Linked DNA regions of Drosophila melanogaster. The protein of the gene in region 1 interacts with the protein of each later gene in a pairwise test. Each region holds a gene or a part of one and is shown on either strand. Other genes may lie near its edges. The genes, in order: Pepck1 and teq.

Evidence for each region.
Region 2: the proteins of Pepck1 (region 1) and teq interact in a two-hybrid assay, tested with the Drosophila melanogaster proteins (one large-scale study listed by BioGRID).

Annotation. Positions count from the first base shown.
Region 1 is NT_033778.4:18,534,851-18,540,007, forward strand, and holds Pepck1 (phosphoenolpyruvate carboxykinase 1), read left to right. Parts: upstream 1-1,916; 5' UTR 1,917-1,942; coding exon of another isoform or gene 1,943-2,026; 5' UTR 2,027-2,187; coding exon 2,188-2,219; intron 2,220-2,383; coding exon 2,384-4,295; 3' UTR 4,296-4,566; downstream 4,567-5,157. Other genes in the region: CG45087 (uncharacterized protein), read left to right, coding at 1,943-2,026. UniProt on the Drosophila melanogaster protein: Catalyzes the conversion of oxaloacetate (OAA) to phosphoenolpyruvate (PEP), the rate-limiting step in the metabolic pathway that produces glucose from lactate and other precursors derived from the citric acid cycle.
Region 2 is NT_037436.4:9,072,706-9,077,736, forward strand, and holds the start of teq (tequila), read left to right. Parts: upstream 1-1,937; 5' UTR 1,938-2,073; coding exon 2,074-2,124; intron 2,125-2,358; coding exon 2,359-2,917; intron 2,918-2,966; coding exon of another isoform or gene 2,967-3,161; intron 3,162-3,314; coding exon of another isoform or gene 3,315-3,560; intron 3,561-3,613; coding exon of another isoform or gene 3,614-4,090; intron 4,091-4,152; coding exon of another isoform or gene 4,153-4,316; exon of another isoform or gene 4,317-4,751; intron 4,752-5,031. Other genes in the region: CG4942 (uncharacterized protein), read left to right, coding at 502-966, 1,024-1,614.

The DNA.
Region 1 (5,157 bases):
GTAAAGTTTATGGGTGAACCTTTGCAATTTTCGGTGGGTTTCCAAGGACTGATTACTAAATTCAAAGCGTGTGGTGTGATGTACACTATGGGGTGAACAGCGATAAAAAGCCAATAAGCCAAGAAACCAAAAGGCAAAATAGCTAAGAAATCGAATCCCTTAAAATAGTTCATGGGCAATGTAAAGATCCTCATAGTGATGTTTTCCCTCGGAAAGTTTTCCTGGTCGACAGCACAAATCCGGGTCTGATCTATATTTAGACGAACTCAGAGGCTCGTCCACTGATAACCCGCCCGGCTCCCTCCTCCCCATTGCCTTCTTCTCAACCAATCGCATTATTGATTATGCATATATTTAGCGAATCGATCGTCTATTGACGTAAATTCCAAATAAGCCCGAATCATCGAAATGCGCCAAGTGGCGGTTAGGTGAGAACAGGAGCGAAGCAGTTAGAGTCTGAGTCCAAGTCCAAGTCTGGGTCCAGCAATTAATGCCGATGATGAAGATTATCAGGCCCAACTAGAAAAACAAGTCCATAGTTATAAATAAACCAATCGAAAATCACGGCAACGCGTGTAGACGAATTCGATTTAATTCGCAACTGGACTTTTCGTAAAGGGAGTCAAAAATGGGGACGGGGACTGTAAGAGGGGGGAGCCAAGGACCAAGGACAACCATCTGATCAGGTTTCTCCAAGGACGTTGGACGCCAGTCTCTTCTGGGTCTAGGCTAAGTGAGCGGCTTATTATAATTATTTAAAACAATTTTAATAAAAATTATATTTGGCCTATTTGTTATGAAGTTGAATTAAGCTTGAAGTTTTAAATTAGAGTTGGCAAGCGTTTTAATTTAACATTATAAATAACACTGCTACCAAATAAATGTTTACGCAACCAATGAAAAACAGAGCCATATTTACGTGCAACTTTCCCGACTGCTTCTGTTGAACTTTTTCTTCGAGTACCCAGAGGATTCTGGGTCTTCTGGTAAACTGGATTCGGGGTACAAAGTCACACCACCGGCAGCACCTTCATTTCTCCTTCCCCAAAGACAAAAACAAGAGTGGCCACATGACAACCATCCGGGCCATGCTATTCTTGGTGCGCCCCCAGAGTCACATGAATGTGAATACTGGCCTCCAAGGCGGCCATGGCCAATTGGGGAGGCCCCCGGCTCATCTGGATGCCGCGAGGGGGGCGGATTAGCATACAAATTTTCCGTCACCGATTCTACAAATAAGCGAAAGTTTTTTTCGATTTGGCAAATGTCCAAAAACGAGAGGCCAACACATGTGGTCAAACAGGCGTAAGTGGGCGGGCGCGTGTGATGTGGCCCACCATTCGATGTTGCACCAATGTAGCTATATTTGTGGCCAATGCAGCTATAGACACATCCAGAATTTACCCAGCTGCAGGGGACAACAACTGCTGTTGCCTCAGCTGTCCGTGAACTGGTTTCTATATTCGCAGCGGCCACATTTGTATCGCATAAAATCATAAATAGAATAATTAAATTAACAGCGCGAAAGTGGCAAATATCAGGGTGTTCAAAATAACAACAAACGCTTATCAATGCAAACGCACTAGAAAACGCTCTCAGCGCCACATGAAAACAACACTCTGCTGTTGCCATGTGGGGACATACCCCATATACGTATCTGTATGCCCATGCCCCCCATTCCGTAGACCCCCCCCCCCCACCCACAACCAACTCATCGTAGCTGCGCCGCCTGTGAAAAACCAAAACAATCGCCGAGCCTCCGCCGGCAGCCAATCAGCTCGTCCGGAGTTTGACCCTCTCACTCGGCGAGGCGATCGTAAAACCCGATTTGCGTGGCGATCGGCCGACTTGTTCTAGTCGCCTCGATGGCCAGGCGTCGCCGGCTGGGTATAAAAGGCCCCGGATCGGAGCAGTTGGCATCAGTTACTCGTGGCCAGAGTAAATGGAAAGATCAAGTGAAAAGCCTACTTTCAGTGGTCTGAAAATCAAGTTGATGTTTGACAAAAAACTGTGGAAGAACATATGAACGCAAAGTCCTCGACAGTAGAACACTAATTGTGATAATTACTCAAATTGTGATAAGCGAATTAAGCAAAGTGCCAAAAACCCTTTCACGCGCAGAAAAATCTAATAAAAATATTCCAAACTTTTTTTCGAGAAAAATTCATAAAAAACAACACAAACAAAATGCCTGAGCTCATTGAACAAAGCAAAATTATGTAAGTATACATTAAAGAGGTCACTCGAAACGCATTCAATGGGGGATTTTAATGGCAATTAATTTTTAATGCAGTCCATTATTTGGGGTCCCACTATCGAAGTCAGTTAATTAAATTGCAATTTTAATAACCCACTTCCCTTTTATCTCTCTCTTTCTCTTTAGCTCCGGCAATGTCTGCGGTCTGCCCCAGTTGCACAAGCTGCGCCAGGACAATTGCGGTCTGTACAGCCACATCCGTGGCATTCCCATCTCCTATGGAAATGTGGATTTGCTGACCACCGGTGTCCGTGCCTTCGTGGAGGAGGGCATCGCCCTCTGCCAGCCCGACCAGGTGCACATCTGCGATGGCAGCGAGCAGGAGAACAAGGTGCTCATCAAGAGCCTCTTGGAGGCTGGCACCATTGTGCCGCTGCCCAAGTACGACAATTGCTGGCTGGCCCGCACCAATCCGGCGGATGTGGCCCGCGTCGAGTCGCGCACTTTCATCTGCACCGAGCGGCGGGAGGAGACGATTCCCACTCCAGTGGAGGGTGTCAAGGGAACCCTGGGCAACTGGATCTCGCCCAGCGACATGGATGCTGCAGTGCAGCAGCGATTCCCCGGCTGCATGAAGGGTCGCACCATGTACGTGGTGCCCTTCAGCATGGGTCCTGTGGGCTCCCCGCTCTCTAAGATCGGAATCGAACTGACGGACTCTGCTTACGTGGTGGCCTCCATGAGGATCATGACACGCATGGGAGCCGCTGTCTTGCGCCAGCTGGCCAAGAAGGAGGAATTCGTCCGCGCCCTACACTCTGTGGGCGCCCCTGCCAACGGACAGGTGGAGCAGCCATCCTGGCCTTGTGATCCCGAACGCACCATCATCCTGCACAAGCCCGCCGAGAACCTTATTGTGTCTTACGGATCGGGCTACGGCGGCAACTCGCTGCTGGGCAAGAAGTGCTTCGCCCTGAGGATTGGCAGCACCATTGCCAAGCAGGAGGGCTGGCTGGCCGAGCACATGTTGATTCTGGGCATCACCGATCCCAAGGGCGAGAAGAAGTACATCACTGCCGCCTTTCCCTCGGCCTGTGGCAAGACCAATCTGGCCATGCTGAATCCCTCGTTGGCCAACTACAAGGTGGAATGCGTGGGCGACGACATTGCGTGGATGAAGTTTGACTCGCAGGGAGTGCTGCGTGCCATCAACCCAGAGAATGGATTCTTTGGTGTGGCTCCAGGAACCTCAATGGAGACCAATCCCATTGCCATGAACACTGTTTTCAAGAACACCATCTTCACGAACGTGGCCTCCACCTCTGATGGCGGTGTGTTCTGGGAGGGCATGGAAAGCAGTCTGGCTCCCAATGTCCAAATCACTGACTGGTTGGGCAAACCCTGGACCAAGGATTCCGGCAAGCCCGCTGCGCATCCCAACTCCCGCTTCTGCACTCCAGCCGCCCAGTGCCCGATTATCGATGAAGCCTGGGAAGATCCGGCGGGAGTGCCCATCTCCGCCATGCTCTTCGGAGGACGTCGTCCCGCCGGAGTGCCCCTAATCTATGAGGCTCGGGACTGGACCCACGGAGTCTTCATTGGAGCAGCCATGAGGAGTGAGGCCACTGCTGCGGCCGAGCACAAGGGCAAGGTGATCATGCACGATCCGTTCGCCATGAGGCCCTTCTTTGGCTACAACTTTGGCGACTACGTGGCCCACTGGCTGAGCATGGAGAAGCGTGGTCAGGTGCCAAAGATCTTCCACGTCAACTGGTTCCGCAAGAGTGCCGAGGGCAAGTTCATGTGGCCCGGATACGGAGAGAACTCCCGTGTGCTGGAATGGATCCTGCGCAGGGTCAATGGCGAATCCTGCTACGTGGACTCGGCCATTGGACACATTCCCGCCGAGGGTGCCCTAAACCTCGATGGCATGAAGGATAAGGTGGACGTGAAGGAGATCTTCTCGCTGCCCAAGGAGTTCTGGTCGCAGGAGGTCAAGGATATTCGCACCTACTTCGAGTCACAGGTGGGCGCCGATCTTCCGGCCAGCATTTACCAGCAGCTGGACGAGCTATCTTCCCGCGTAGACAACCTGTAAGAAGGATCAATGAGGAGAGTCCCATCTACAGCATCTTTACCTGCCCACACACCTGCTCACCCACTGTGCTATCCCGTACTGACCCCATCACCAACCCAATTTGTTAACCTGTCCTAAATACCTGTCCCCAATACCTTATTTAGTCGTTTCTCTAGTTCTTAAGCCGAAGACTTCCAAACTATTTATTATATAAGCAGCCATAAGATTAGCAAGTAGGCCATACAAACAGAGAAAATTAAAAAAAAAATAAAACAACACGATTTTATAACCTACATCCTATATGAGTATTTATTTATCACAAACTTGGATTTTTGAATGTTGTGAACATTCTAAACAGTATATATACAATAGTTAATATACTAATAAATGCTTTATAGCTGCATGATTTATTTATTAACGCTTCAAACAATCAGTTAAATAGATAAACAAGTTTTAATACGTTTTAGGATTTTTAAATGATTGCTAAATAAATTTCAAATGTTATAATTATAAAATGTGACACTTGTAACTAGTCTTGCTCTTGTTTCATAACTAAGACTTTTAATATTTTTCAAAATCCTAATTTATGGTGTTAATTTGCCAAGATTATAGAAATAAATTAAGTTAAATTTTTCCCACTTGCCTTATATAAGATGAAACCGCTAGATGATTTCCCAATCATCTCCTGCAACGGCTATCCACTGCATTCGCTAGCTTTCCTCGGCTCCATTTTCCAGCCCAATGGAAGGCCGCGAAAAGCTCAACAGTCGGAGCTTTTCCAGCACTTCGGATTCACAGGAATCGGGAGCCAGGAAAAAGGCAGCCAAGAATCGGTGGGCACCACAGTTCAGCTCGAGCAGCCGCCGCCGCAGCTTCGACCGGG
Region 2 (5,031 bases), on another chromosome or scaffold:
AATGCCAAATTAGAGTGACCGTCGCACGAGGTCGCAAATATGCCAAGACCAAGAAAACAAATATGAATACAAGCACAATTTTATCTTAAGCATATACGTATGAAATTAAACGTCAATTAAAAAACAATTTATGCACTTAAATTAGGTCTAGCCATTTTAAGTAAGCCGAGATAATTATTAATTTAGAAATTTCAAAGTGAGTAAAAATGCAAAGGAAATAAAAGTGTTGCTGTCGTATAAAATGACTGTATAAATTTTGTTATTGTTCTCTTATCAACGATTAAATGATTTCAAATTAATAACTGCATTTCAATGTTTCCTAATTTCGGATAGCAAAAAAAGCATCGTAAGTTAAGGGTTAATGCAACTACAATGCCTAGCTACGGCCACACTGATTGAAGCCGTGTTATGGTAACAATCAGCTGTTCACAATGATAACAACTCGCACTGCTGATTCTATATAGTTGTTTACGTTGATTATTAGTTTTATATTAATTAAAAATGTCAGCTTTGCTTCTTTTACGCACCTGTAGAAGTTCATCAATTGCTGGCATCTACAAATACACATACCAAGGAACAACTATTGCGAATCACACATGCAATCATCGTCTGTCGTCTACAGAAGCGGCGGCCGCGAGTGTCCAACTGGCAAATGCCGGTGGATTGGTGGGATATTGGCAGACCTTGTCCAACAGCACGCCGGTGGCCTATATGCAGGATGTTCTCATTAAGATCCACGACTACAGTGGCCTGCCCTGGTGGGCGTCCATCGTGCTGTCCACTTTCCTTTTTCGGAGCGTGGTCACCCTGCCTCTGACCATTTACCAGCACAAAATCACCGCCAGAATTGAAAAGATAGCGCTGGAGATGCCGGCCATTGTGGAGGAACTGAAAAAAGAGGCAGCCATGGCCAAGCACAAGTTCAAGTGGAGCGAAAAGCAGACTCAGATTGTTTATCGGCGTTCGGTTTGTTAAAATTCAAATGTTTGCGAGACACTCTTCGTCATGTCAATTATCTTACAGATCAAGAAGCAGTGGCAGAACCTTATAGTTCGGGATAACTGCCATCCCATGAAGACCATGATTGTGCTATGGGGTCAGATTCCCCTGTGGATCTTTCAATCCGTGGCTCTGCGCAATTTAGTGTACATGCTGCCGGATCCCACGTCCATTCAAGCTCAAATCGTGACCACCGAAATGACCATTGGCGGATTTGGTTGGATACCAAACCTTACGGTGGTGGATAACTCTTATATCCTGCCTGTAGCATTAGGTCTTATCAATTTGGCCATCATTGAAGTGCAAGCCATGTCTAGAACTCGTCCTTCTACACGCTTGCAGAACATCGCCAACAATGTGTTCCGTGGATTGAGTGTTGTGATGGTTCCAGTAGCCTGTACAGTGCCTTCAGCTTTATGTGTATACTGGGTAGCTTCCAGCAGTTTTGGCCTTGCTCAAAATCTGCTCATCCTCTCGCCGGAAGTGCGACGATCTGTGGGAATTCCCAAAACACAAACGGAACTCAGTGAGCCGTACGATCTGCTCTGGCTAAAAATACAGCAGAGGCTAAGACTTGCCGAGAGGGCGCCGGCTGATAAGCCGGCAGCCAAATGATCTAGTCTCTTAGTCATAATCACCTAGTCTAATTTGGGTATGACGTTTAGTTTGTTTAAATGCGACTGCGCCACTGTAATTCATCATCATCATTCTTAAGCTCCAACATCTCAGATTCATAGAAGTAAATAAATGAGTGAAAAACCCCAAAAGAAATGCAAACAAAACAAGGCGATAAGACAGCAAAAAGGTCTTGAGATTACAAGCCCTGATAGTGTGGTCCACTCAATTGGTTTGGCGACAAACGAGAGCATCTATCAGCGGCGGCAGAGATAGAGATTCATCCCGAGTCCAATTGAATTGAAATGCGATCTGGGTGTGGGTCAGTCGAGCCTGGAATTCGAACGGGATCACAACGAAGAATTTAAAGCGCGAGAAAAACAATTGTGTAGTTGCTATCAGCATCGGTGCATTTTAAGAAATATTTAAATTCAAATACTTATAAAGCGGAAACGTAAAATGATGGCCAAGTGGCTCCTTGGCCTTTGGCTGGCGATCCTGCTAGTGGATGTTAGTGTAGAAAGTTTATTAATAATTTCAAATTGTGTTTTTTAAGGATATCATCTAGATTCTAGATTATTTACAATTTTTTAAGATTTTAGTCAAACTAAAAATGTTGTTTAGGAATTTAAAACGCGCTTAAGACTTTAATTTTAATTGAACTTAATTACAAGCTATTAGCTAAATTTTGCCTCTAATTACTTACGGTTGTTCAATAATATTTCATAATTGCGCTTTTGACAGCGACCCGGGGCTAAAGCTTATCGATCAGGCAGTGGCTACCACAGCGAGCAGTCGGAACCAGTTGGCTTATCAGCAACAGGGAACGCACACTCGAGTTACGGAGGCGACCAGCAGCAGCCTATTTACCATCGGGATTCGGCATGCCCGCCGCATTTTACGGGTCTGGTTGCATATCCCCACGACTGTCATCGCTATGTGAACTGCTTCGATGGCAGCCCCACCATTCAGACGTGTTCGCCCGGAACTCTGTTCAATGACAGGACCCAGGTGTGCGATCATCCCAGCAATGTGGTTTGCCCTTCAGCGGAATCTGCATCTACTCGACTGGGAAGACTTAGGCAATTAGATAGTGAACCCAAGTGTCAACCGGGAGTGAATGGATTGCAACCGCATCCTTCGGATTGCAGCAAGTTTCTTAACTGCGCCAATGGTCAAGCTTTTATTATGGACTGCGCACCAGGAACTGCTTTTAGTCCAGCATCACTGGTATGTGTGCACAAGGATTTGGCCAAATGCGGATCGGGAACTGGAGCAGTACGAGATGATACCTCCGGCACCGGTACGTATGAGTGATTTAAATACAAAAATCTTGACTAACACTCGGTTAGGCTACCCTGCGTTGCCTTTTGATGACTTGGGCTGTCCACCCGGTACACGTGGGCTTCGTCCACATCCGCACGACGTGCACAAGTATTTGAGGTGCGGAATTGGGGTTAAGCCTCAGGTGGAACAGTGTCCACGGGGCCACATCTTCGATGGCTCCTCTTCGGTATGTGTGTATTCTGACTCCCCTCGGACCTCCTGTAAGTGTCATTTCATTTCTTATCCCTACTGCTTGGCCTCGCTTGATTCATCTGCTTTTTCATTTCGGGTTATTTTCTCATATTACGCTGTACACGCTTTGCTTGCCTGCTTAGTTGATAGACTCTAATCCTGATCCCTTTGAATTGTAACAGCTTCCTCCTTCACGTCGGCTGAGATTCAGGTCAACTATCTCTTGTGTCCAGTGGGAGCCGTTGGCCAATTTGTTCATCCCTTTGATCAAACAAAATTCCTTAGTTGTAAGGATGGTAAATCGGCTGTGCAAAACTGCCAACCTAATTATGTGTTTAGCATATCGAGGCGCTACTGTCAGTTAAAAGCACAATTAGCCTTTACCGACTATGTCACATTAATTATCTCCGAAATCAGCTATGAGTATTGTAAGTTACTTTATCATCACTGTACACTAGAATTTATGATAATATTTTACTAGCACTTATCCTTAATGCCTGTCCTGGTAACATCAACGGCATCTTCTTGTATCCCTACGATGCTAAAAAGTACGTTCAGTGCTCGTCTGGTGGCAGAATGTCCATCCTAAGTTGTGGCCCCCAGATGGCATTCAGTGTATCCCAAAGAAGTTGTCTTCCAAGTCATCAAGTGCACATATCTGATCGGGTGCAGTTCTGGCAGGAAGTCCAAGTTCAGACCACTTATACTTCTCAAGACTTACGGGGAAATGTTCAAAGCCAGCTGTCTTCACTTAGATCGTGTCCACCCAATGTCCAGAAGAATTACCCTTATCCATTCCATGCTGGCCACTATGTCAGGTGCCAATATGGAGCATTAGAGATCATATGCTGTCCCACTGGACAGCTTTACAGCCTCTCCCAGCGTCAATGTGTGCCTCGTAGCCTTCTCTCTGCACATGATTACTTGGATTACTCCTATATCAGTGCTGAACTTTCCAGTAAGCATCTCAAGGAATCTTGATGACTTGGACTTGATTTCAGACCACTTTTTCGTTTACAGCTGAGTTTATGGTGGATCGTTCGACGCTTTCTTGTCCTCCACAAGCACAGGGACTCTATCTGCATCCCTTCGATTGCACCAAGTATGTCAGGTGCTGGAATCAGCAGACCTTCATTGAGAGTTGTGTAGTATGTGCCTATGCAATATTAAGAACAATTAAATAAAATAGCATATTAACTTATGGCAGCACTTTGTTGCTATGTTTATGTTTATGTTTATGCACGCAGTTAGGCCAGGGCGGATGTAACATGATCACCCACTCGAAGGCCACAAAGTATAAGTGCATTGCCCACTCGAAGGCAAAAAGTATAAGTGCATGGTCAGCATTCACACGCCGACCAAATACATATTACATACGTACATACATATCTCGCTCTCCCGATAAGCCTAGATATATAAGATATACATAAGAACGCCGCTCCGCTGCTGGCGTACCCGGCAGCGCAGCTACGCGGATTAGCCTAAGTCCAAATATATAAAAAACTGTAAAATCGGAGAGACTCTGTAGACGTTGAGCTGACAGAACCATTTCTGCCTACTCTAAAATCAAAAGAAGAAATTGAATAAATATATGTCAGCCCGACGGCTGCCTTCAACTTAAAACGGACTTGTGTTCTTAATTGGAGTTCATCATTACATGGCGACCGTGACAGTCGTCCAACGCTGGACGAATTGACCAAAGCTGGTGAAAACAAAGGAACAAAGGAACACTGGACTGGAAGAAGACTGGACTAATTAAATGGAACTGCAAAAACCAAGGAAAAATCTGAGTGAGTAGAGTTCTATTGAGTATGGGCAAACACCGTGGCGGTTTGAAAACTAAGCTGAATAAACGTATAGCCCACGTAAGGTGGCTAATATACGGTCAGCAAACGCCAC